2 linked regions of the Astyanax mexicanus genome follow. The protein of the gene in region 1 binds, or shares a complex with, the protein of each later gene. Links are inferred from orthologs where the notes say so. Each region holds a gene or a part of one and is shown in the gene's direction. Other genes may lie near its edges.

What was found.
Region 2: the proteins of lrrc7 (region 1) and camk2a are in contact, whole or in part, in a crystal structure (PDB 6X5G), measured with the Homo sapiens proteins. The link is inferred for Astyanax mexicanus from reciprocal best matches to the Homo sapiens genes LRRC7 and CAMK2A. Residues at the interface, in NP_001357714.1 of Homo sapiens: His843, Gly844, Arg845, Arg846, Pro847, Leu848, Ile849, Arg850, Gln851, Asp852, Arg853, Ile854, Val855; in NP_001350919.1 of Homo sapiens: Glu96, Phe98, Glu99, Ile101, Val102, Lys137, Glu139, Leu159, Phe173, Ala174, Gly175, Thr176, Pro177, Gly178, Tyr179, Leu180, Ile205, Gly209, Tyr210, Pro211, Pro212, Phe213, Trp214, Tyr222, Gln224, Pro233, Glu236.

Annotation. Positions count from the first base shown.
Region 1 is NC_064412.1:25,547,259-25,555,507, reverse strand, and holds the start of lrrc7 (leucine-rich repeat-containing protein 7), read left to right. Parts: upstream 1-5,028; 5' UTR 5,029-5,614; coding exon 5,615-5,639; intron 5,640-8,249.
Region 2 is NC_064424.1:33,859,366-33,867,076, reverse strand, and holds the start of camk2a (calcium/calmodulin-dependent protein kinase type II subunit alpha), read left to right. Parts: upstream 1-4,448; 5' UTR 4,449-4,762; coding exon 4,763-4,824; intron 4,825-7,711. UniProt on the Homo sapiens protein: Calcium/calmodulin-dependent protein kinase that functions autonomously after Ca(2+)/calmodulin-binding and autophosphorylation, and is involved in various processes, such as synaptic plasticity, neurotransmitter release and long-term potentiation.

The DNA of each region.
Region 1 (8,249 bases):
ATCGTATCCAACTCAGACTTACATGTTTCTGCTTGTGGAGGAAGCAGATTAAAGCCTTTAAAAAATACTAACTGGATAACCCTCTCCAGAGTACAACTCAGCAGAGCTAATAAACACCACTACATACACAAAAAAGCCAACAGTGCATCAAACTATCAAGCTTAGATCAAGTTTGATCTAAGACAATGGTAAATGTCTTGTGTCGATGTCAAGGTTGTGGGTTTGATACCCGGGTTTGGCAACCTTAGGCCCTTAGCCCACCAATCTGGGCATCTTTGCACACTTTTTCACTGTGTATGTCTTCTGAGTGTACTCACATGTTTGCTCTTGTCTTGGCCTGTCCTGTGTATAACAATTTAAATAGGAATATTGTTAAATTGTTTTGAATACACATTGGTCTACCTCTGAAATAAATTCTAGCCTAGGGTTTAACTTACACTGCATACAAAATCACTCTCTATTATAGAAACTACAGAACCTTATAGTTTTCAGCCATGATGTTTGCAATTGTGTTTGAATTCTCAATGAGAATGATTCAGTTACATAATGACTTACATAAATGTTGACTTGCTTGGTTACCTATGAAAAGAAAAATCCAGTTTCATATACGAGGAAAAATAAATGAAATCTAAAATATAAATATCAATTAAATCAATGGGAGTTGATTTCTTTAACAAAATTTAGACATTGTACATACTTTCCAGTAAACTCAGTTTAATAATGAAACACAGAAGGAACAAATCCTGATTTCATAACATCTTTGTACAATTCTATTTTCTGTACGATGTCCTACTTGTCCCACTGCACATATGTATGTATGCCATACCACTGTAAGACTGGAGCCAGCTGAGCATGTAATCCTTTTAGAAGCTCTGCTGGCAGTTTGAAATAGACTCATATATGCTGGCTTGTCAGCTTTGACACGAAAAAACTCAAGTGGAAGTCATTGCATAAGTGGAGAATGTCCCAATGAAGTTAGTTCAGGATCATTTATTTTTAAAGCCTAGAAGTCTGGGTCTGAATCAGCCTGAGCACTTTCATTTTACTTGTCCTCAGAGTAAAACGTCATAAAAATACTCTAGTGTAACCATGTCTGGTCTATTAGAATGTTGGTTTGAGACTTAATGTACACCGCCTGTTCAAAAAAAAGGTTACACACCCTAATATTTCATTGGACCACCTTTATCTTTGATTGCTGCATGCATTCACTGTGGCATTGTTTGGATAAGCTTCTGCAATGTCACAAGATTTATTTCTATCCAGTGTTGCATTAATTTTTCACCAAGATCTTTCAGCATTGATGATGGTAGAGTCTGACCGCTGCACAAAGCAGCACTTCTCCAGCACATCCCAAAGATTCTCAGTGTGGTTAAGATTTGGACTTTGTGGTGAACAATCCATGTGTGAAAATGATGATCTCATGCTCCCTGATCCACTCTTTCACAATTCCAGCCCCATGAATCCTGACATTGTCATCTTGGAATATGGTTGTGCCATCAGTAAGAAAAAATAACCTGGACTAACCTGGTCTACATTTAGTATATTCAGGTAGTCAGCTGGCCTCATTCTTTCAGCACATACTGTTGCTGAACCTAGACCTGACCAACATCATTTAGTGAGGTGGCGACTTTTTTTTGGCCAGGCAGTGTATATAGAATTTCAGTTATTTATGTTTATTCATTACTTTATATCTCAGTTGTGATTATTTCCTCAGTTTAGTAGAAAATAATGAGCAATTGTGTGGAACTGTGTGGATATGGAACGCTATAAATCTGTTTTGTTGTTTTTGGGATTCGTCTTACTACATTATTTTGCATTTTTAAGCATATATAGCATTTAATATTCATCATTATTTATCAAGGTTGGTGTTGGTTTAAATGCTTTACATATAACATCCACTGTTATGTTGTAATAGTGTAGTTTTAAAGGAGGAACTCCAGTTTTAAATTGACTTTTGGTGTAGGAAAACATAATAAATATAACTTACTTTTGTTGAATAGCCCACTTCTGTTCTCCTGCAGCTTTCTGAGATCCAGTAATTTTGTGCTTTTTGCCCAGCGCTTTTTACAACGCCCGCTTTGGGGCATATTTTGCCCTGATAAATCGCTTTTTACATCGTTATCCAGGCTCAAAGTAGCTCCACACCTCCTTGGTAGAAACAGGAGAGCTCTGACATTTTAAACGAGACATTAAGAAGTTTAAAAATGCACAAAAAGCTTATTAAAAAACACTGTTTACAACACATAGCGCAGGTAATCTTCGAGTGCCGCCATCATTGTACTGATAATGTTGTAGACATATTTACATAGACTCTGCATAGCCTGCCTCCTGGTGTAGCAGCCGGTGCCCAGTGCATTTTTTCATTTACACCGAGGAAGGTGTTTAATACACCTATAATAATAATAATCACAATTCTACCAATGTTTACCTGATTTTCACACGGTTTGGTTTATTACAGGGCAGAGATGTAATAATGATTTAGGACGCTGTCACACATTACAAATACCTGCTTTTATGCTGAAATCCTTTAAATAATGATCTTTTACAAAGACAGATCTTTGTACAGAGTGCTGGGCAAAAAGCACAAAATTCCTGAATCTTGGAAAGCTGCGGGTTTTACTACACTAAAAGTCAATTTAACATTCTCCTTTAAGGTTAGGAGTATTGTCTGCAGATTAGTATTGGTGTAGTGTGGTGTGTAGGCTACTTGCCGGGCTGGAGAGTTAAACCCTATTCTTTGAGGGGAAAAACATACTGTTACAGTTTTAAATGCTGTAAAAGATATGGTTTGCTTTCTCTGGAGGTTGACATCAAATGCTATTAGGCCAAATGTGGATCCCAAATGCCTTCATGCGCTACATATAGATAATGAAATAAAGCTCCCACCCGAACAGAGCTCAGTGTAAACAGAGCTGGTTGGGATTTGCTTTATTAAACTCTAGTGTGGGTTAATAATGAGATTTACACTGATCTCAGAAATGTATCAGAATGTTGTGACTCCTGTATTAGGCCTTCCTAAGCAGAGTAAATAAAGCTAAAAAACATTTGGGACACAGGTTGAGAATGCTACCCAGCCAACATGGTTATGTAAGGCTCACCTGGGTGGAAGATAGGCTAGGTGGATTCTAGGTAGGCACGCGCTCTGAAAGGATTTATGCATGTGTGTTTTATTGGGACCCAGTTGGGTCTCCCAAATAGGCTCCATCAATACAGCCCACCATAATTTCACATGGGTCCAATCTGGGCCAAATATGCAGTGTACCACCCAGAGATGGCATGTTTTTAACCCCCCATGGTCCTATCACTGATCCCAATTGTACCCGTGTACCTCTACCACTTGTTTTTAGCTGTCACCCTTTCCCCTTGGACAAGGGAAGAAAGTGGTTGATAACCTTACTCTCAGAAATTTAACAACCCTTTAAGAGCCTGATACCATGATACTGGCAGTGCTCTATAGGATAGGGCATCAGATCACTTTCAAAAGGAGGAGGTTTAATATTGTCTACCACAAAATTATTGATGGCAGTGAGCTGAAGTTAGCTATTCAGTTCTTCAACTTCTTATCAGATTTGTAAAACACTCAAAAAGAAATAGTAGGGGTCCAAAAGAGAAATGGGATAGTCATTAAACTACGTAATTGTATGCTTGTTATCTTAATTTTAAACACAATATTACATTTGTGGGTTTCTTTGCTTGCTTGCTCAGCTATCTCTGAAATCAAACGTTTGGATTTTGTAGGGTTAGGTAGCCTTAACATTGAACACGAATCAGGACCAAGTGGTAACCTATAGCTTTGAAAGGTAGAGTGTCATAGTTGTTGGTAGGCTAATGAAGAAAAAATGAGAAGAATGTAAGTGAGGGTCCAAAAAACAAAAAAAAAACGTAAAACGTGAATGTAGGCGTGTGTGTGTGTTTATTTGAGAAGCAGAACAGAGGCAGTCCCACGGTTCTGATCTTGTTCTTTACTCGTCTCTCTCTCTCTCTCTCTCTCTCTCTCTCTCTCTCTCTCTCTCTCTCTCTCTCTATCACGCAGTGACACAAACGCAGCCACTCCTCTTACCTCCCCCGCACTCCTCCGCTCTCTCTCTCTCCTGTCTTTTTTTCTGTTCCTTTTCGCATGCTTCGCTCCACCTGTTTTCCGCTAAGCTCCGCCCCCAGCGCTACGGTTGGATTGTACAGTGGCTTAAGTTCGTAGTTATCGTAGTATTTAGAGGGTCATTGTAACGTTTATCAGTTCTATTTTTCTCACTTTTTCTCACTCTGCTTTTATGTCTTTTTGCATCCTCTCTTATGATTTTTTTTATATTGCCTGTATATTGCCTTGATGCATTGTACCTTCTGTTTGTGCCTGTACTGTAAATAACTGAGTTTTTAGAAAAGGTATGAATATAAATAAATAAAACCATTATTATTATTATTATTATTATTATTATTATTATTATTATTATTATTGTTATTATTATTATTATTATTATTATTATTATTATTATTATTATTAGTAGTAGTAGTAGTAGTAGTAGGAGTAGTATTATTTGGTAGTTTTTTTTTTGTTTTGTTCTTTATTTCCCTTTTTTTCTTCATTTCACACAATCAGAATACCAGAAAAGAATTAAAATAATCTTTATTTATTTATTATTTTCTCCAGAAATAAAAAAAAAAATCTTTTTTTAAATACAAAAAAAAAACTTTTTCACTATACTAAATATAATAAATAAATCAAGTTTTTTTTCACAGTTTTTTATTTTACAATTCCAGAATAAGAAATATTGAACCGATAAACGTTACACTGATCCTACATGCTTAAAAACTCGTGATTGGTAGGTACTTCTCGTCACAATCTGCCTCGCCCTCTGATTGGCTAGCAGCGCCACTGGCAGTGCCCGCCTTCTGCGCTGAGACTGGGAAAAGCGTCTCTACCGCACGCGTTATTGGCCAATCGCAACGCATGGGGGCGGGGCTATGTGAGCTGCGTGTGGGGAATACGGGTGGAGAAAAAACAGCACGAGAGAGGAGCATCGCTGCGTCCACGGCGCTGAGGAAGAGCCACGGCCGCTCTGCTCTCAGCTCATCTCTGCTCTGTCCTACTAGCTACTTCACCTGCATGGATATATATCACGATGGCTGCTGCTGAAGACGGACTGAAAACGAGGGAGAAGGAAATCAGCACACGCTGATTCTTTTTTATTTATTTTTTATTTATTTATTGTAGTTGTTTGCGTTTTATATATATTGAACATGAACTTCATCAATTGCTCTCAGGGAGATTGAGGAAAAACATGGCCCAGCGTGCTCTGATATGCATATGATCTATATGCATTAGTAGTGAGGTTATAATTGGAGTGTTTTTCCTCTTTTTTTAAATCTCAGCGTGTGGAGCAGATAGAGATCTATAGATGAGATCATGTGGCTCTGCTCCTCTTGCTTTATTCTAAGAGAGACAGGCGCGTTCCGTGCAGGCGCTGCAGGGCTGCTGCGTTCAGTGCGAGCTCGAGACTGAACACTGATGTGATGCTCTGTGGATTGCGAGCACTCCCTCCTCCTCTTCTAGCCCAGCGCCAAGGACCACGACTCCAGCTGGAATAAAACACACTCTCTGATCACATAGTCCAGTCCAATGGACAATTGCTCAACGCTTCAGCGTAAGTAGTTCTGTGTGCTTGATAGCATTGATGTCTGATTCCTGCATGCTGTGCTGTGCTGTGGGTTCTTGAGCATTCTCCAGATGGCCTCATCTTCAGTGTTCACTTACCTACCTGTCTGTAGATACATCTAATATACAGTTCTGGAAAAAAAGGAAGAGATCACTTTAGTTTCTGAATCAGTTTCTCTGATTTTGCTATTTATAGATATATGTTTGAGTAAAATGATCATTGTCGTTTTATTCTATAAACTACAGACAACATTTCTCTCAAATTCCAAATAAACATATTGTTATTTAGAGCATTTATTTGCAAGAAATGTCCGAATGAAGAAATGGCTGAAATAACAAAAAGGATGCAGAGCTTTCAGACCTCAAATAATGCAAAGAGAAAACAAGTTAATATTCATTTTAAGGTTTTAAGAGTTCAAAAATAAATTTTTGGTGGAGTAACCCTGGTTTTTAGTGACTGTTGAGTTTTCATGCATCTTGGCATGTTCTCCTAGCTCCACCAGTCTTACACACTGCTTTTGGATAACTTTACGCCACTCCTGTTGCAAAAAAAAAATCAAGGATTTTAGCTGGGTTTGATGGATTGTGATCATCCATCTACCTCTTGAATATATATACATTCCAGAGGTTTTCAGTTTGGTAAAATCAAAGAAACTCATCATTTTTAAGTGGTGTCTTATTTGTTACAGAGCTGTATGTATGTATCAGTTTGTCAGTTAGCAGGTAGCCTTTATTTCAAGCCAGGACTCTTCATAATTTACATGGTTTAAGCTAAAAGCTGATTGCATATATTGCTTGGTATTGGTTTGCTATTGTCTTGGTGCCTATGTGGTGGGTCTTACCCACCTTGAGATGCTCATTCATTCCAGTGGAGTCATTCAGGAACAGGAAACAGGAATCAGAGGTGTGATGAGCCACATTGTGGGATATTGGTACAGTATTTGCTCATAAAGTCTGTGATGTCAGTGACCAGGCTTATGGTTCTTCAGGTCTCTAATCTAATCTTAAAAGGCTTCTTCTTCTTAAAAAAAAAAAAAATGTTTTTAAATTCTTGACCCAATATGTAACTGATCATGTTTAGCTTCTCAAGCTTGGCTAAGTCTAATCTTTTACGCTATATAATCTATTAGGCTATAATAGCTTTATAGCTTCATCGCTTTCCTCCATTTAATTCACTTGCGTGGAATTTTTTTCCACCCACACATCCATGCACATATTATGTTAAAGTCACTGCTGGTATGAATTGAGAATAGTAATAGATAATATTCTTGGCTTGGGTTTCTGTTTTATGAACATTTGGGAAAATGTATTATTGTTTTATTGTACAAGCATAAAGCATACACACACACACAGCAGGCTACAATTGGGTGCTGCCCAGTTTTCTATATTTATGAATGAACATGGGCACACAGTGTTATTAATTAAAAAGCATCACCATTGTCACCCCTTACTATACAGCTCTGGAAAAAATAGAAGATCAGTTTCTCTGATTTTGCTATTTATAGGTATATGTTTGAGTAAAATGAACATTGTTGTTTTATTCTATAAAGTACCAACAACATTTCTCCCAAATTCCAAATAAAACATTGTCATTTAGAGCATTTTTTTGTAGAAAATGCAAAAGTCTTTCAGACCTCAAATAATGCAAAGAAAAAAGTTAGTATTCATTTTAAGTTTTTAAGAGTTCAGAAATCAATATTGGGTGGAATAACCCAGGTTTTTAATCAGTTCTCATGCATCTTGTCATGTTCTCCTGCACCAGTCTTACACACTGCTTTTGGATAACTTAATGCCAAAATTCCTGGTGCAAAATTTAAGCAGTTCAGCTTGGTTTGATGGCTTGTGATCATCCATCTTCCTCTTGATTATATTCCAGAGGTTTTCAATTTGGTAAAATGAAAGAAATCCATCATTTTTAAGTGCTCTCTTATTTTTTTCCAGAGCTGTATTTGCAGTATATTGAGATTTTATTTTATACAGTGTTGCCCAGCCCTAACTGGTTGATATCTTTTCAATCTTTTTTTTCACAAATTCCTGCTGCGGTTTGGTGATATTAACACAGGATTACCCTTGAAGTTGTGGTATTCTCTCTCATTGACTGACACAGCATGGATATGTCCTCTAGACAAGTTAACTGATATCTGCTACAGAGGGACGGCCATCGCCGCAAATTTCCTCCCTCAGGAGTCGCGTGGGGCAATACTATTACCCTTTCGCTATACGCTGCCCGGCCGTATCCCGGAATGTGTGTGAATGGTAGATAACCTGCTGGACAGGTGTAAGCAGATTAGGTGTGGCTGTGTCTATCTCTGCTGGAGCAATGAGAGGGGAAGAAGCCTTGATGGCTGAACAAAGGCTGACTGGCAGGACCAGTAGACTGATGTTTGTATGATGGGTCTTGTGGCTGTCCAGAGATAAATGGCTTCCCCTCCGCTGGCTAGGCAGGGGACGCTGGACGCAAGCCAAGCTGCTCTAGGACAGGAGAGAAGAGAAGAGCCTGTCACCAAGAGTACTGATATGTACTATCCTGCTGCCAGGAGCCGGCTCCACTCGTTCTGTTGCAAAAAAAAAGGACAAAAGGAGGATTTTCAGCTATTTG
Region 2 (7,711 bases), on another chromosome or scaffold:
AACATGATCATTATGATACAGCAGGATCCATAACACTGTAGGGTAAGAATCTGAAGGCCTTTATTACCTGGACCAGGTGTGATCTACTGTGGGGTGAAGTTTAAGTCCAGTGCCAGGATTAATTAGTATGAATTAATTAGTATTAATTAGTATGTATGCTGAACTATCGCATCTGTTAATAACTAAAAGTGTTTCTGCTTCCACCTACTGGAAGAGCTGCATAGTGTGGTGTTTTGTCAGTTATATATGTTGTTTTTACACAACTTGTGACATAATTGGCAAATTAGTGACCATATTAAAAATCCTATACTTCTATAAAATCTATATTTTAATTACAAAATCACTCACTCTCTCTCCCCTCATTGTGATACTGGCTGGCACAGGTGTCTAATGGCTGATGTATCATTGCTGGGGATCTGATGCTTTCCTCTGAGATCTCTGGCTGCCTGGTGATGCTCCACTGGGGTAGTTGCAAAAGAGGTGGGACCCTACTTCACATTTATTGAAGGAGGCATGCCCATTTCTAACCATCCTTGTGTTGAGAGTATTGCAGTGATTGGAGGAGTCAAAGTGAGTGGGTTTGTTAACTGGTTTGAATTAAAATTAAACTAAATTAAAAAGGTTTAAAATATATATATACACATACAGCACAGAGTTACTGTCGTGCAGAGTCTGCACATATATTTTAAAATATACAGCTCTGGAAAAAATTAAGGGGCCACTTCTTTTTCTGAATCAGTTGTTCCGATTTTGCTATTTATAGGTATATTTTTTTGGTAAAATGAACATTTTTTTATACTATAAACTACAGACATTTCTCCCAAATTCCAAATAAAAATATTGTCATTTAGAGCATTCGTTTGCAGAAAATGAGAAATAGCTGAAATAACAAAATAAAAGATGCAGAGCTTTCAGGCCTCAAATAATGCAAAGAAACAGCTAGAACATCAATTTTATATTATAAAGTTTTAAGAGTTAAAAAAATAATATTTAGTGGAATAACCCTGTTTTTAATCACAGTTTTTATGCATCTTGGCATCATGTTCTCCTCCACCAGTCTTACACACTGCTTTTGGACAACTTTATGCCACTCCTGGTGCAAAAATTCAAGCAGTTCAGCTTAATGGCTTGTGTTTATCCATCTTCCTCTTTATTATATTCCAGAGCTTTTTTTAATTTGGTCAAATCAAAGAAAATCATTATTTTTAAGTGGTCTCTTATTTTTTTCAGAGCTGTATAGTACAGACAAAATGTTCACACATACCATATTTTTAATCTATAATGTAGAATGTAAATTTAATTAAAACATTAAATGAGTACTGTATATTCATCAGCTAATTTTAAATGATTAAATCTCATTATGATATTCATATAACCAATTTATAATCTTTCTCCATTATAATATTTTTTTTTATGAAAAATAAAATAGGTAAAACAGATAAAATCAAGAACTGATGAAGCTGTAAATGGTGCTGCATTATAGAATATTGCACACTCAACCAGTAACAACAATATAGCTGTGATGTTTCTGATCTATTGAGCTGCTTTAATTTTAAAAAAGGCTGAAAGGAGGATGTCAGTGTTTACTTAAGCCCCTCCCCTTTTATTAATTTCCCCAGTCACATAGTTATAGTCAGTCACACTGATGTTAGTTATTATCAATGATAAACTGTTAGTGATTAATAACACATCTGATCTAAGGTGGGTTTCCCAAAAGGTTTTTAGCAGTAAGATAATTTGTACATGGTCGAGCGAGCTTTACATTGAGCACTCTCTCTCTCTCTCTCTCTCTCTCTCTCTCTCTCTCTCTCTCTCTCTCTCTCTCTCTCTCTCTCTCTCCATGTTAAGATGCTTTTAATGCTAACATGCTTTTGGGATACAGAGCTCTGGTTATTGCGGATGATGTAAGCAGTATTTCAGTATCTGGAGATGGGCAGTATTTCAGATTGACTGATAATGAGACGGGATGACAGTGTTTGACTGCTTATGATGCACTCTAGTGGAGAGTCTGTACACCGCAGATATCCTTATTAAAGCAGAGAGACAGGAGCAGCCCAGTGGCAGATCCGTCATTGCTATTAGTTGTTTAAATATCAAATCCAGATTTATTTAGATTGGGTGTTTGTGTCATTTTATCAGGAATTATAAAAATAAATGTTATTTTTTACATAAATATAGTACAATATAATATGATATAATAATATTAATAATTCCTTTTAGTAATTTCATTTTTTGACTCTCTATCATACTTAGAAAAGTTCAGATAAGACAGAAAGAAATTATATTTTTCAGCTTAATCACTTTTTTTATTTTCTGTGTCCATGACACATTGATAAATACTACAATAACTATATATTCTCTGTCTTGACTGAGTTATATGAACTTAATACACATAAACAGCCCACAAATACAGCTACAAACCTCAAAAACATACAATAGACCCAACAATCAATGCTTAATGTTCCAACAAGCACAGGCGTTCAACAAATATCACTCATTTGTATGCCTTCAGGACGCCAGAGCAGCCAAAACATTAACTACACATAAAACTCACCAGTCAGGCAGCCTATTACTTAGTTTCACGTTGAAGGGCAGCCTTTAAAAGTGCTTTTTAATATAATATGACATAATATCTGTCTTATCTACATGATAGTTAGCTAAATATTTAATTAATCCAGCACGCGCGCTCCGTTTTACGACTAATCAATGCACGTAGCGTAACCACTTCTTCCTAGCGCTGAGAAGGGGTTAGACAGCCATGGCCCCGCCCCCGGAGTAAAAATCATGAATCTGATTGGTTAGATTGTCCTATGACTTTGCTAATAGACTCATTACTACACTCTTCGAAAAATCAGCAGAAGGGTCCACGAGCAGAAGCTATTTTAAAAAGCTTTGATTGGTTAAAACCACTTTCAGTTAGATAAGAGTCCTGTAGCAACTGAAAAACACAAACTAATGCTTTAAGTTAGTTGCTGTTTTGTATTTTAGTTAATTTATAAAATAATTGCTTACACTTACAATAATTATATACTTCCTGATAAAAAAATATGTAATTATTTACATGCACTTTTTGTCGCCCCTTCTCTGAAGGGTTAGAAGGGCTCACTGCACACCACTGGTATATTCCAGTATTAGCCTACAGTGCAGTGTGTATTTCAGTGCAGTGTGTATGGCAGTGTGTATTCGAGTGCAGTGAGTATTAAATTGTGTATTTTAATGTATTGAAAATTCTAGTCTATATTGCTGTATTACAGTGCATTGTGTATTTTGGTGCAGTGTCTGTTGCAGACCTGCAGTGTATATTTTAATGCAGTGAGTATTAAAGTGTGCATTGTAATGTGTTAGTCTATAGTCTATAGTGCACTGTGTATTATAGTGTGTATTGTAGCATGTGTAATGCATTAAATAAACAAGACAAAGCAAACTAAACCATAAAGACAAAAGATAACAAAACTGTATATATAAATCAAAACTAAGAAAACAAGAAAGAACTCGGACAAGACTATGTTTACACAAACCCAACATGGAGCACACAAAGCAAACAAAAGACTCGGCAAGGAACATTGAATAAAAGGGGCTTAAATACAGGATGAGGGTGAAGAACACCTGGGACTGGTAACAAGGGGATGGGGTAACAAACAAGACATGTGGGGCTAGGGCAGAGACAGAACAATAACAAAACAGGGCAATGTGCTTAAAGAGCACATGGCTAGGAACACTAAAAATGAGAACAGAGGACAGACAGGAGAACATGAGACAAAAAAAGGAGACACAAGACAGACACGGGTTAAGGTGTGACAATTGCAATATTTTAGCTTTTTTTTTCAAGTGTTTTGTACTGTGAATTACAGTGGGTGTCTCATACAGTGCACTGTGCATTACAGTATTACAGTGTGTATTGCAATGTGCGGTATGTATTACAGTGTGCATTACACTATACAGCGTGTATTGCAGTGTGTATTACAGTGTGTATGTTATGTAAGCTCCAGTCTAAGTGAAAGATGAGCAGATAAAGAGATAGAGGTTGTGACTGTGAATAGCAGGATGTCACAGTGGAAAGGCGGGGTCAGCCCAGGCTGTGGGTGGGTGTGGGTGACGGCAGGTCGGTGTGGGGGGGTGGCTGTGGTGGTTGTTACAGTTTCAGTTGTGACAGAGAAGGAGATAATCCAGTGTGCTGAAAATATGAAGATGATTATGGTGTGTGTGAGAGAGTGTGTGAAGGTGTGTGTGGGTGTATTCCACTGTTCTGGATGTAAGCGTGTGGCACTAGTTCATCCTGGCGCTACCCGGAGAGCAGGAGGAGTGGGTGGAGGCGGAGGTGGAGATGGAGGTGGAGGAGGGATGCAGTTGCCCCTGACAACGGGGCTGTGTATTCAGGAGCATCAGCGCAGGCTGTGATTGGACGGCGCAGACAGAGCGGGCGAGCCATAAAAAGAGAAAAGCTGTCAGTCATCGTTTCCTCTTTATCTATCTCTCTCTCTCTCTCACTCTCACTCTCTCCCCCTCTCACTCTCACTCTCTCTCTCCTCCACTCTCACAGTGCTCTCTCGTCCACAGGGCTGAGCGACCCTCTTCTTTTCCCCGCGCCAACAGGCTTCCCATCTTCCTCCTCTCCTTCCTCTCAGACGCTTCCAGCTCAAACAAAAGAGGAGAAAAACAACACACACACACACACACACACACACACTCACGCACACACACCCACACACTCTCGCGCACTGACTCTCGCGCAGGCAGCCTGACCTGAAGCACCTGGAGCAGCATGGCCACCATCACCTGCACCCGCTTCACTGAGGAGTATCAGCTGTTCGAAGAACTGGGCAAGTGAGTGCCAACCTCCACTTTCAGCACTGCCACACACCTCCGAGTGTGTGTGATTGAGTGTGTGTGAGTGAGTGAATGTGTGTGTGTGTTCATTTCAGCGGGGAACTATTCCACAAACCAAACAGGTGGAGAGTCAGCTCTGGCAGCTCCCTTACCTGTCAGAAACATTAGCTTTGACATTCCTTAAGCAAAAAAAGGTTCTTTAAAATGCTTAGTTGGTTCTCTCCCTCATTAAAAGGTTTTCCAGGTTTGGAGACAAACCAAATGAGACAAACCGAGTCAGAGAATTGTATAGGACAGTTGTGATGTACACTACATAGCCAAAAGTATTGGGCTGCCTGCTAAATCATTGTTTACATTGTATTACATTATCTGGCAAAAAAAATAAGAGTAAAGGAGTAGTAACTGTAGATTTGAAGCATTGCCTTGAGGATTTGATTGCATTCAGCCACAAGCTCTGCAAGTAGTAAAGTCAGGATGTTGGGGATCGTTCTTAAAGTATTAGCTGATAAAGCGTCATCCAGTACTTGAAGCTTTATTATTAGATAAGCATGCAGTTCGCACCGTTCTAAATGGTGAGGCAATAGTTTGCATTACATGCCAGTAAGTGGAGTGCATACTAGATGGCCAAAAGTTTTCGGACACCCTGTTTTTCCTCCTGAAATTAATGGTATGAACTATGAGTCTGTCTCTCTTCTGGGAATGCTTTACACTAGATGTTGGATAATTTCATTAATGCATTTTTGGTTGGTTGTATTTTACCCCAAGAGCGTATTTTACCCCAAGAGTGTATTTTACCCCAAGAGAGTGAGAGTATTAGTAGGGTCAGGTTCTGATGTTGATTAGATGATTAGTTTGGACAGTTGGACAACTTGTCTCAAAAGTACTGAAAGAAGCACCATATGTAAGTCAAGAGAACACAGTTCTATTTCTCCAAAGCTCAATTCTGGGGGGATTTCTCCTCTCTAGCCCATGCCTGCCATTTGGCATGGTGCCAGTAGGTACATGTTAATTTATCTTCTCCAGAGAGTCCTATTCTATCTGCAGTATTTCTCTACTACAGGCATTTAGACAAGCAGTTTGTGTGTGTGTTTGCACTTCAGTTGTTGTTCATATTCTATTTGCAGTTGTTGTTTATAATTTAGCAGAATTTGATGATGAATGAACCAATAGGAATGCTCCAAAATTGCTCACATCCATTTGACGTTAGGAAATTGGTTTCCTTCTCCTGTAAAGTTACTGATATACTGCACACACTATACTGGGATATACTGACATGCCATTAGTCATGGGACATCAGTATGTAAATTGTTAATGAAGCGTTTCCTCAGGGGGCGGCTTGGGAACGCCCAGAAACTGTGAGAGGCCTGATGGTGGGTGCAGATGGATAGGACATTCCATTTCTGAAGTTGTTCAGGGTTTTAACATTCCTCTACCCACAATGTCAAGTGTGTACAGAGAACACATTAGATAGGGCATTACAACCTGCAGTGGACAGTGCAGTGGGTGGTAATGATAGGGACCAGTGGCCTCTAGCTACAATTAACCTGTAAACAGACACATTAAATGCGGGAGAACCCAACACTTATCCCACAGGTCAGTGCAGCGTTCTTTAACTTCCATGGGACATAGCAAAAGTCATGGGACCCTATTCCAGTTCCTGATTCATGACGGGTGGCCTGTCAGTGTATGAGAATAGTACAGTGGTTCAGTAATGGCAAGTCTCTCTCAGTCTGACTGGCAGAGCTCTGAGTGACTGATTCAGAGTGTGAATCAAATGAGTCACTGACTCACTGCATCATACCTGCAGCTTACATAACCACCTGACAGACAACCTGCAGGGAGGGGCAAGGGTTAACAGAGTACAGTACAGTACATTCAGCCCAGTACAGTGTAATGCACTTAACCTGGCACAATGTAGTACATTCAAACAAGTACAGTGTAGTGCACTCAACCAAGTACAGTATAGTACAGTACAGTGTATTTAACACAGTACAGTACAGTACATGAAAACACAGTATAATATAGAACACTTAACCTAACACAGTATAGTACTTTCACCCCCATACAGTATAGTACACTTAACCTGGTACAGTACACTACACTTAGTTCCCTCATCCCATTAGAGTTCATTATACTTTAACCAGTGCAGCATAGTACACTTCAGTACACTTACAGAAAAGTATTAGTATTTGTACTCAGACTCGTCTTGGACTCATTAGTATTTGTACTCAGACTCGTCTTGGACTCAGACTCATCCTGGACTCATTAGTATTTGTACTCAGACTCATCCTGGACTCCTTAGCATTTGTACTCAGACTCGTCTTGGACTTAGACTCATCCTGGACTCCTTAGCATTTGTACTCAGACTCGTCTTGGACTTAGACTCATCCTGGACTCCTTAGCATTTGTACTCAGACTCATCTTGGACTCATTAGTATTTGTACTCAGACTCGTCTTGGACTCATTAGTATTTGTACTCAGACTCGTCTTGGTCTCAGACTCATCCTGGACTCATTAGTATTTGTACTCAGACTCGTCTTGGACTCATTAGTATTTGTACTCAGACTCATCCTGGACTCCTTAGCATTTGTACTCAGACTCGTCTTGGACTTAGACACATCCTGGACTCCTTAGCATTTGTACTCAGACTCGTCTTGGACTCATTAGTATTTGTACTCAGACTCGTCTTCTACTCATTAGCATTTGTACTCAGACTCGTCTTGGACTCAGACTCATCCTGGACTCATAAGTATTTGTACTCAGACTCATCCTGGACTCCTTAGCATTTGTACTCAGACTCGTCTTGGACTCATTAGTATTTGTACTCAGACTCGTCTTCTACTCCTTAGCATTTGTACTCAGACTCGTCTTGGACTCATTAATA